Drosophila melanogaster: one gene and its partner. The protein of the gene in region 2 interacts with the protein of the main gene of each other region in a pairwise test. Each region holds a gene or a part of one and is shown on either strand. Other genes may lie near its edges.

What was found.
Region 1: the proteins of ldd (region 2) and Cse1 interact in a two-hybrid assay, tested with the Drosophila melanogaster proteins (one large-scale study listed by BioGRID).

The regions. Positions count from the first base shown.
Region 1 is NT_033779.5:16,820,559-16,827,186, forward strand, and holds Cse1 (chromosome segregation 1), read right to left. Parts: upstream 4,650-6,628; 5' UTR 4,509-4,649; coding exon 4,424-4,508; intron 3,942-4,423; coding exon 3,082-3,941; intron 3,011-3,081; coding exon 2,527-3,010; intron 2,459-2,526; coding exon 2,156-2,458; intron 2,091-2,155; coding exon 1,934-2,090; intron 1,878-1,933; coding exon 1,577-1,877; intron 1,504-1,576; coding exon 766-1,503; 3' UTR 598-765; downstream 1-597. Other genes in the region: CG13280 (uncharacterized protein), read right to left, coding at 385-448; mdy (midway), read left to right, coding at 1-101, 160-251, 320-372, 4,852-4,960, 5,021-5,164, 5,221-5,531, 5,592-5,864, 5,925-6,158. UniProt on the Drosophila melanogaster protein: Export receptor for importin alpha. Mediates importin-alpha re-export from the nucleus to the cytoplasm after import substrates have been released into the nucleoplasm.
Region 2 is NC_004354.4:21,121,905-21,126,813, reverse strand, and holds the start of ldd (lipid droplet defective), read right to left. Parts: upstream 3,181-4,909; 5' UTR 2,695-3,180; intron 1-2,694.

The DNA of each region.
Region 1 (6,628 bases), on a different chromosome or scaffold from region 2:
TCTTGGAGCTCTGGATTTACCAATTTTTCTGGACTGGTGAACTGGGGATTTCTACTGCTCTGCATTGGAGGTCTGCGTTTGGGCTTGGAGAATCTCCTAAAGTAACTACGATGATCTTGAGTAGAAATACAAGTTTTAGCTAATTCATTATTTTTTTAGGTATGGCATTCGCATCAATCCACTGGATTGGTTCTTCTTCATAAGCGGACACAACGAAGGCGAAGGACATAACGCCCTAATCCTGAGCATTTGTAAGCACGCACAAAATCAAGGATTACGCAAACGAAATTGATAACCTTCGTCTCACCATATTTTACAGACTCTTTAGTGCATATCTCGCTCTGTTTGGCTGTGGAGAAGGGTCTAGCCATGGTAAGTACTTACTTTGATAGCATCTCACGCCTATTTTCTTCGATCGTGACTTGAAATACGTTATTAGCTTGAACATGGCTTATATGATAAATTTCGAAATATCTAGTTAATTCTAAATTCACAATTTTGAAATTGAGTGAAGGGTGTTTGACAAGAAATGATTTGTTTATCAGAGAGAAAAGTATGAAATATTCAGAAGTTATCGCAGTTGAAACACACTAGTTTCGGAAAACATAATTTTTAATTGTTTACAAAACTTACATATATTAGATACAATTTTTAAATGACAATAAACTGGGCATGCAATGAGTGATCGAGTGCGTGTATGCATAAATTTTCGAATGTATGGCGAGGTTTGATTGCGATGAATGAGCTTAAAGTCGGTCGATTCCTTTAGGCAATGCGTACTCCAGCCTGATCACAATATTTCTGGAGTACTTGCTTGTACTCCGGCTCCAGGGGCGACAACAAAGTGGAAAATTCTCCTGCCCTAGCCTGGGCAAACTTAGAGAGCGAAGTTGCTAGAAACTGGCGAGCATCCTTAATCTCAGCCAGGTGATCCTGCTGGTTGGGCTGGGCATGAGTCAGTTGGGCAAATGCCACTTGATAGCCCGCATCGGGATCTTCGGCAACTCCAGCTGTCTCTCCTATTTCGAGACCCATCAATTTCTCTGGTGGTCGTTCAAAAAGATCGATTAGAGAATGCAGCAGTCGTGGCCAGAAAGTAGCGTACTGTTGCTGCAATATCTCAGGAGTTTCTGTAAGTAGCTTAGTGACACCCACGGCCACCATTTTGCGATCCTGTTCCTTGGGAATCTTGCCCATTTCGGTGATAAACACGCGGTCCAGCAGCATGCCAAATAGGTTAGGCTGAATCTCATCTATCAATTGAGCCATCTGACTGCCACTGAACTTAATCACATAAAAGCTAAAGAAGATAATGATGCCGCTTAAATACTTCGGAGTCTTTGAGAGAGACAATCGCTGGAAGAGCAGGCCAAAGATCTGACGAAGATTAGTTTGAATCTCAGCGGGAGGGTAGTAGGAAAGCAGATTCTGGAGAAGATAAAACCCTTCATGGTCATTAGCCTTGGAGGCAATCATCTTTTGGAATATTCCGAGGATACCGCTCTGAAATATATGTTGAAAAATGCATAAGATTGGACTCTGTAAAATAAAATTTGTGATGTATAATATAACTTACCAGTTTACCCAAGGCTTGAATCTGAGCAGATCCCTGCTTGATGAAAGCAGAAATCAGGCGAATTAATGGTGTGACATTGCCCGTCCTGTCCCACAGAGCTGGTGACAACAAGCAGGGGAACAAAGCCCAATAGGGTTCCGGTATGGTACCAGTGCCCTCGCGCATTTCCAACAGCACAGAAAGCATCTGGAAGACGTAGGGCATAAATTCGACAATGTCCTGCTGTAAGATGCCCTGGAAAACTGGGAACAATGCCTCCTCAAAGGAGCTCACAGCCGAGGAATCGGCGTGACAAACAATTCTAGGGAAAAAGAAAATTTGTTATTGCTCTTTACCACCAAAATGCATAACACTTACTTTATACACAGAGCCAGCGTTTCAAAAAGATAGTGGTTGAACTGCGGACGCGATGGATTCTTGGCCACTTGGGTGAGAATCTCGGTAAGCCGTGGAAGGGCGACGCCCATAAAGGGCATGGCGGCCGATTGCAAGACCGAAAAACTTCGCATAATGGCTAATAATAATAATTAGAGTTTTGTTAACATATTAGAAACGTATGAGATAGTCCCCCAAACTCACCTTTCATTACGTACTCATTTTCACCGGAACCTGGGAGTGAAAGGGTCGCAAATAACCCACTAATTAGTTCAGTTGTGTAAGGTGCTAAAATCTGAGGACCAAAAACGATCGCGTTGCTAGCATCCCGCATAGAAAGGATCTTCTCCACTGAACAAGCAGCATAGCTATGAACAACAGAGCTTTCGGCGGGGAGATGTCGAATTAGCTGGGGCAGGCAGCTTGCTAAGACTTGGGGACCCAAAATGCTGCGGAACACCATTACATACTTAATTGCAGCAGCCTTAAGAACAGGAAACTCGTTAACTGCAAAGAGCATTGGAAGAATGCAGATATAAGATGATCGAATTGGGAAAATGGTTATTTGGGCTTACTGTTGGGTCTTTCCAGTTCTGGAATAATTTGCTGGGCACAAAATTCGGGAAGTGGAACCAACTCCGAGGTCTGTGTGATGCCATGCTTTTGAGTTCCTCCTCGAGATGCCCACGAAGTAACCAAATAAATTGCCGTATCCTTTGACCTCCAATTGGTAGCCGGATTCTCCTTGTACTTGGTCAACAATCTCTCTAGATACTGGCCAAAAATGCCAAAGATCTTTTGTTCAAAGTTGATTGATAGAGTCTTCACCAGATCACATGCCGCCCGACGTCGTGTGTCAATGTCAGAGCCTTCAATATCCCTTCGAATGTACTCCTCCGGACTGTCCTCGAAAATTTCTTCATCTGAGGGCCGGATGTCTAGATTGGGAATGACAACTTTATCGCAGATCTGAGCAAGAATCTCTGGGTTCTCGAAAATGCTCTGATAATGCTGGCGGTCAGCCACCACAGAGAGGAACTGCAGAGCATGGGAGACCAACTGTGCGCAAAATAAGAATGGAAAAATTATAAAAATAATTATTAAGAAAGCGTATGGTTTCTGTTACTTACCGAATCGTACTTGGTGTGCAAACTTGTCTTGACCAGTAACTCCCAAACTGCAGTCACAAATTGCTCCATAAATGGCTTGAACTCCTCGTCGTACTTTTTTGCATAAAGGCAAATGTTCTCGCAGACTTGAGCACGCAGATGCTCTAGAACACCCGCATCCTCATCATCTGCAGTACGCAGGGATGGCACATCCGCAGCTAGTTGCTGAATAAACGCTCCCATCCACGTATTGATATTGTCCTCAAAGAACTCCGGCAAATCTTGGGAGTTGAGCGAGAAAAACACCTTGTTCACAAGGACCAATGAACCGTAGATGACCTTCAGGGCGCCGGCATTGTTCTCGTGCACCTTAGTCAACTGCATTGTGGCCTGGAGCAGGTCTGTCAGAGGTTTAGCCATACGATCCAGTACAAATTTGATCTCCTCCCACAAAGCCTGCGACTTGAACTCATAACGATAGCGCTTGAAAAGCGAGTGTGCGGTTTGCAAAACGCCGTTGATGACATTGAAATCACCAGAGGCAAATCTCTCCACCATCTCGTCGATAAGCTGCGGCCATTTTTTGGGAAAATCATATTTGCCTATGATGCTGACCGCGTCGCTTAGTTGTTTTTGCAATGCCACCGGTGAGTGGAGCATTAGCGTAACGATCAAGGTCTTAATTGTATTCCTGTCACTTTCGTGGATGCGATCCGGTCCGTCGCTGTCAAGGTGGGCTGCCCAATTCCGCTTAATATAGTTCTTAAAGGCAATGGCTCCCGCCACCCGCGTAGTCATGTCCATTTGGGCTTTGTCTATCAGATTGAGCAGTAGGATCGGGTAATTCTGCTGTAGTTCCGTGGACTCCAAAAGTTTTTCGGCTATAAAAGTAGAGAAGGAAATGGTGTGTTTGTTAGAACTATTGTACTTATGTAAATCGGATGTTGCAAATACAAATATATAAGGAACCGATAGGAGCTTACAGTGTTTCTCGTTAGACTAAACATATTTTCAATTCAAGCAATAAGTTTTTTATACAATATTTTCAAAAGCTTGGTTATGGTGGTGCGGAGTCTATAGGCTTGGTATGCCTTAAATAATCCTAAAACTAGGTCTATGGTTTTGAAAGGTGGCTTGGCAACAGTCATATCAAGATCAGCTAATCTCGATTCAATTAATAGAAAGCGTGACTGTATAAATTCTTTGACATAGGGAAAACTTGTAGACAACTTCAAATGGATTTAAAAACCGTATTTTTCTTTGGCGTCGCCAAAAACCATTTCCCGCGCACATACACATCAGCACCCCTGCACGCATGTGCAGTTGTGTGTGTGCACATGCATTCCTACACACACACACTCACCCGGCCGGCGGACATTGGGATCGGCGCTCAGCGTCTGCTGCAAATAACCGGCCAGCAGCTGTAAATTTGCCTCTGTCACTTCCATTTTGAGTATATTTTCTTTTCGATGGTCCTATTTGCTTTAATTTATATCACTCGTGGCTTGTTCCTCCACACTCTTGCAACATGAAATGAAATCGCAATTCGTTTTCGCACACAATGCTCGCCGATCTGGGGATGGAACTCAGGGCGAGTTTTCGATATCGATTGTTTATAGTTACTGTTACTAGGATTCGATGGTTTTAGATTTTAAATGTTCATATCAGAAATATCGCATATTGAACTTTACTAATTTAGTATCATTTGATATGATATCAATTCCTGTTTTTTTTTTTCAAAAACCAACTGAATGAATTAAAAATTAAAACAAATTTGTAATTCTTTTCCAGGAAATAATTGCAGAGGGCTTGGGCTTGTTCATCCAGATAGTGAACATTGTTGTCTTGGTTTGCCTACCGGTGGTAACAATTCACCTAAAAGGACATGCTTTTAGTTTGAGTGAGAAATTAACTTAGTTTAGGTGTATTTTAAAATATTTAATTATCTGTTAATCTTTAGTGGGCGCTTCAACAGTTTGCTTCTTTTACTCTGTGTTGTTCCTAAAACTATGGTCCTATGTGCAGACGAATATGTGGTGCCGTCAGACTTATTATCAAAAGAATCCGCGGGAGCGTCGACCAAGCATAACTTTGGCGGAACTAAGTATGTTGAGATCTCTCAACGGAATGTCATATATTAAAAATTCATCTTTCATCCAGAAAAAGGAGTTTTGAATGGAGGTGAAGAAGACGAGGACGTTTCCAAGCTGGTGCAATATCCTGATAATCTCACATACAAGGATCTCCTGTACTTCCTTTGCGCGCCCACTCTCTGCTATGAGTTGAATTTCCCGCGAACTTCTCGCGTGCGCAAACGCTTTTTGCTGAAGCGTTTATTGGAGGTGGTGATTGGAGTGAATGTGGTTATGGCCTTGTTTCAACAATGGATCATTCCATCGGTTCGGAACTCCCTGATTCCGTTCTCCAATATGGACGTGGCCTTAGCCACTGAGCGACTTCTTAAACTTGCGGTTGGTAGAGTGAAAATTATAAAACGTTTGAGTATTATTTAATAATTTTTCTTTAATTAGCTACCCAATCATCTTTGCTGGCTCTGCTTTTTCTATCTAATGTTCCACTCTTTTCTTAATGCGGTCGGCGAACTGCTGAATTTTGCAGATCGCAATTTTTATTGTGATTGGTGGAATGCGAATAACATTGACACCTTCTGGCGTACATGGAACATGCCAGTTCATAGGTGGTGCGTGCGTCATCTCTACATCCCTGTGGTCCAAATGGGATATTCCTCAAGACAGGCCTCTACTATTGTCTTTCTTTTCAGTGCCGTCTTCCATGAATATTTGGTATGAGGGTTGATATTTAGAATTTCAAATTTTGTACAATAATATAATTTATATTTTCAGGTTTCAGTTCCTTTGCAAATATACAAGATCTGGGCATTTATGGGCATGATGGGTCAGATTCCCCTATCGGCCATATCCAAATCCATTGAAAAGAAACTGGGTCCCCGAATGGGCAATATAATCGTGTGGGCTTCCATTATTCTTGGTCAGCCTCTGTGCATAATGGCCTATTATCACGATTATGTCGTCCAGCATTTCAAAAACTCGCTCAACGGCACCGACTACAGTAGTTAGGTTTCAAAAAAGGTTAACATTTAAAAATGGAGCAACACTGAAATATCTGCATCGGTCGGGTCCGTGTACTTTTCGTAATTTATAAGCCAGAATGCAAGTTAAGAAGGAAACTTGTGATTGCCAATTTACAAAGCATATTTTGTATGACTTTTGCACATGCATGTAGTACTGATTAACACAAATAGATTGTTATTGAATGCATTTGTTAATGAATTTAAGTGTCATGTAAATAAATCAAATTTTAAACTAAATAAAATGTTTTTAATTTTTAAATTATATGAAACGAAAAAAATGTAATTATTAAGCTCTTTGTTCGATAGTTCCTTCCCTAGAATACACGATCTATCGATTGTTTATGCGGCATATGGTCACACTTCATCGCTGCCCAAGCCAAAACAGACAATTTTTTTTCCTATATTTCAAGTAACATTTGTCGATCATATGTGAGCTTAATATAAGTAATATTTTCG
Region 2 (4,909 bases):
TTTGATTTGATTTACCCTTTTCTGTGCTCTTTAACTGCATTCCAGCTCATTAGTACATTAATTCAATATTAATTGGTATTCTTTTTCAGGAATCAATCAACTATTCGATTGTATAAAACCACAATGGGTTTTTAACTTTAACTTTTGACTATGGTGATTTATAAGAGATTCTATATATTGTTAAATTCTAATTAAGCGTGCAGTGTAAGACTGGATGTACTTTTAACTTCCGCTTGGGAATACGAATGTCTTACTGTTACAAAATATAAGTTAACCGTATTTCCGATTTAATAGCTTAACTTTGTATTAGAAACCGCATTAGTTGCTCTCCGACTTACAAAAACGCGATCGCCAGCACTGAAGCGTTCAAAAACGCACACGTTTTCCTGTTTATACTTCTGAATATTGATTTTCGATTTTTGAGCCAACTTCAACTTGAATCACATCCAGTCGACCGATCGACCAACCGATCAGCATGAGTCGGCAAGAACCGGAGCAGACTTGGCTATAATTATATGCCCAATCAGATGTAGATTCTGCCGCATGCTCGTATTTTATTTATAAAACCCATTCGGCTGGCCATAGGAAACGCTGCTCACTTTTTATTTATTTATTTATAAGTTGTTGCTTTTTGATTTTTGCTTTTAGCCCGATCAGCAGCCAGCAAGGTCGCTGCTTACATGTGCAAAAACTTGCAATGCAATTAAGTCTTGATAAATAACCAGTCTGATAATAACACTCAGTGCCTCTGGTGGCGGAATGCTAAAAGATTTTATGTTAATGCCGTCGATAATCGCGAGACGCTCAGGAAACGGAAGACGAATCCAGAATGCCAACTAAGCTATGGGCCAACTCACTACTCCTCCTACTATCCTGCTCGAAAATATCCCTAATTTGAATGGCATTTCAAATCTGTTCCTCTTTTCCGCATACCCAGCTAAAACAAGAGAGAATTCTGTAGTCGAATTCCCCCACTATCAGATACCCGTTACTCAGCTCGTAAAGTGAAAGATTGAAAGTGGAATATCGGTAGAAATTGCGGGGAAAAAAGTTAATAGAAATAACATTTTTTAAAAGTGTGGGCGTTGCAGTTTGGAGCGGTATTAAGCGGGCGGTCGAGTGGGCGTGACACTGGAATTCTCAACACTCTAGCTTCAATAGATCCTGAGATCGACAGACAGATCAGGCATATACATACATACATATGTACATATATACCGTATAAGGTCGGAAACGCTTCCTTCTGCCTGTTACATACTTTTCAACGAACCTTATATACCCATTTACTCCACGAGTAATGGGTAGCAAGAGGAATGCTTGGTCAATTATATTTATCACAAATAAATAATGCATTTCTGCTCTCTCTCTTGACAGTAAGAATGCTTCAGACCCTTAACTGTTTACCTCGCAAGTCAAAAATTATATAAGACTACATACATCGGCAAGAGACTTTTCAATAAGAATAAGATTGTACTATACTATACCATATAGAACAAGAGGTATCCTTTGAAAATACCAGAGTTTTTTTGAAATTATCATTCATCACATTTCCAAAGATACTACCAATATATGTATGTACATATGTACATATATCCAAGTGCATCTGAGATGCTTACACACCTGCAGTTAGTTCTTCGCCCCCTCGTGGTTCATATGGCGAATTGTTAAAAATCTCTCACGTTGAAGTTTTGTAACTTTTAAACTTTAGATGCGATAGCCGGAAAAAACCATGACGGATACCCTCCAGGGAAAATGTCCGTACAACACTCCGTGATAATTACTTGGCTATGCACATTACAGATCTCATGGATTAGCAAAGCGCACCGCCTTAAGTTGAAATGGTTGAGATTTTAATAGAGCTCAAATTTGGCTGTTTTTCAATAGGAAAGGTGGAACAAATATAATTCCTAAGCTACCAAAATGAATTGCAACGAGCAATTAATAAATGTTTTTTTAATATAAATGTTTCCAATTGAAATGTTTTGAATTTTTACTGCAAGTGGTGAACTTATTTGCGTAGGATCTACAAACAACTTCTTATAATTTAGGGTATTTACGCCTCCTTTTGTTTGCCTTTTCCTATGCGTTTTCGCTTTCATCGCTTGTTGCTGTTGTTGCTCTCGCCACCTCCTTTTGTGCTGCCAATTTGGCTTTAACTACATACATAAATCTACAGCTTTTGTGGTTGTGTTAAATACTGTTTTTCGAATGGATAATTTGTCCAGCGCTTTTGTTTTGCTCCGCACTTCTTGTTTTGTCCAGCCCTTTTTGAGACGCACTCAAAACAACAGCGCCGAAAAACGTGCAGAGAAACCTCAAAAACCAGAAACGTCAGATACCGACCAGAAACTCGAACCAACACTGAGAGAAGCGACTTGGTCCTTGTCATACTTATTCATCCAAAAAGCTATTGCTCATACATACAAAAAGTTGAATGTACTTAGTTAAATATTTCGACATTGCACTTCCATTTCAATTTACTAATAAACATAATCAATAATAACATAATTATCGATTTTTTCTTTTCAATTTTTAAAATAGTGGTGGGCCATTGTTTTCAGTGCACCGAAATTGAAAGTGACCGCGATTGAAAACAGCTGTTGCTGCTTTGATTTAGCAAGTACCCAAATAAATATAACTACGTACCTATTTAGGAAGCTGGTAAAAACAGCTGAGAAAACTAAAATTACTAACCCCGCTAAACAAGTTGCTGCTGCTGCTGCTGCTGCTGCTGGTTCTTCTTCGTTAGTGTTTCTTTGTTATTATTATTTTTTTTTGATTTTAAGGTTTTTCGGTCACTGCAACTGTTTACTGCACACGTCTTTTTATATGTATATTTTCTTTTCGAGTTTTACTCTTCACTTCGAGTGTTGTCTTTGGGTGTTGCCTCCCGCTCGCACAGTTCGCACAGTTAAAAAATAAGAATGTTTCGGTAGTTTGCTTCAGTTTTCGTTACTACTTGGCCTTTGGTTACAGTGTATAGAGTGCTGCCTGAAACGTCCGCCAACAAAGCTGGCCGCAATTGAACTGAGCTTGACTAAACGCGCTTACGGAAAATTATTTAATTCCGCTGCCAGTTTGCCGCCGATGCCGACGTTGAAGAAAAAAAAAACGATCGTCGACGTCGATCGCCAACTTCCAACTTCGTTGTTGTTGCGTGTGGGCGGCAACAAGTTGCTCCCGGCCATCGCACCGGCAACATGTTGCCAGCTCGGAGCATGGGCGCACACAAGGGACGTGATCTGAGGAACAAAATGTTCCTTTCTTCATTCCATTCTTCCAGTTAAAAGGTGAAATTAAGTGAAACTTTATTTAGTATTTGCTGAACGTAATGTTTGAATTCAAATAATAATTCTAAGATTGAAATAAAGCCAAATGAAGAATATTCTTTAATGGAATGTTTGTATTCGTAGAAAGTCGCTGATTATTGTTCCTATAGATACCTTTTAATTTACCTTGGATTCCTCATATCTTTTGATCTACTTACACCCAACATGCTTCGATTTGTAGGCCATAAGAGTTCGCGTAATGTTTGAATAACAATGGGATTTTTGGTAATACACCCATGCTTCTTCTAACTGTTCTTTTGTTTCCCAGTTGAGTGTGCGTGACACGCAGCAGAAAGCAAAGCTGGTTTTAATTAGCCTGTATTTTCGGGAAGTACTAATTGCAGCCCTGGCCCATCGCACAACTGTACTTATATCCAATGAAATGCCAAAACTATATAGGAAACCCTTCCCGAAACACTGAATCCACGAATTAGTGCCACTTTTGAGACCCAGTCGGCCGTGTAAAGAGGGCTATAACGCTCGTACTTTGTACCTGGATTGCGCTAATGGATCGGAACCCAAGAATGATATAAACACGAGAATGAGTTGACACATCTAACGATCCCCGGATGAAGTTACAGATTCTGTTAAGGTCAAAATAGATATATATAAACCTAACCTTCAAATCTCTTTGAAAAATACATATGAATAGTCAGTTCCCGACTTGTCAAATAAATATTAATTGATTTTGAAGTGAAATCGAATAAGTGTTAGTTTTGCAATTCACCATGAAATAATTTTAATAAATTAATTTTTAATTTAATGTGTATTTGGTTTAAGTGTTTGGTATGTTAAATGTTAATGCAATTAAATTAGATAATCAGGGGTATTACCCATGCTTGTACAAAATGACGGGCAAAACAGGTGTAAATCAAATATAAATATTTTTTAGTAAGTATGTAAGGTAAAGTAAATTGCACTAAGAATTTCTCAAAACAGGAAATTTAATCAATTTGCGACTAACAATGAAGCAAATCCGCCGGAGTCAGTGCGTCTGAACCGGTTTAATCACAGAATGCAAATCGCAGCGATTCCTCCATTGGAAATTGGACACCGGGTGACAAGTGGAAATTCCTGAAAGAGAGTGCATACAACTGTCAAGTGCTTTCGAATTCAAATTCGCCATGTCGCCGTCCAGAAGCCCGTGTCCCCGCTCCACCCCCGGAATTAGGCCAACCAGAACCATTCTCATTCTGAGTCGGTTCTCCATGTCCATGTCCACGGGCCCAGACCACGCTCAAATGTTCAAATGTCCAACAGATTCGCTTGGCTGCGTATCAGTTGCGCGTAATGTCCAAAGTCATTATGGCAAAAATCGCAAAAAGACTAAACGTTAAAAATGCTGAAATTAAAACTATATATACGAATTATGAAATTGTTTATCGGAATAAAGCGAAGCGAGCAACTAAAACGGCCAACTAGCGATGACAATATAGAAACTGGGAACTAAAGTGGCAAAAAGTTAAGCTAAAGTAATTATAATTTAAAAACAAGCTCGAGACAAAAGAGCACACGTCAGTAATCCATAGTGTAATTCTCTAGATACAATTACAAGATTAGAAACGTATTTATGAAACATT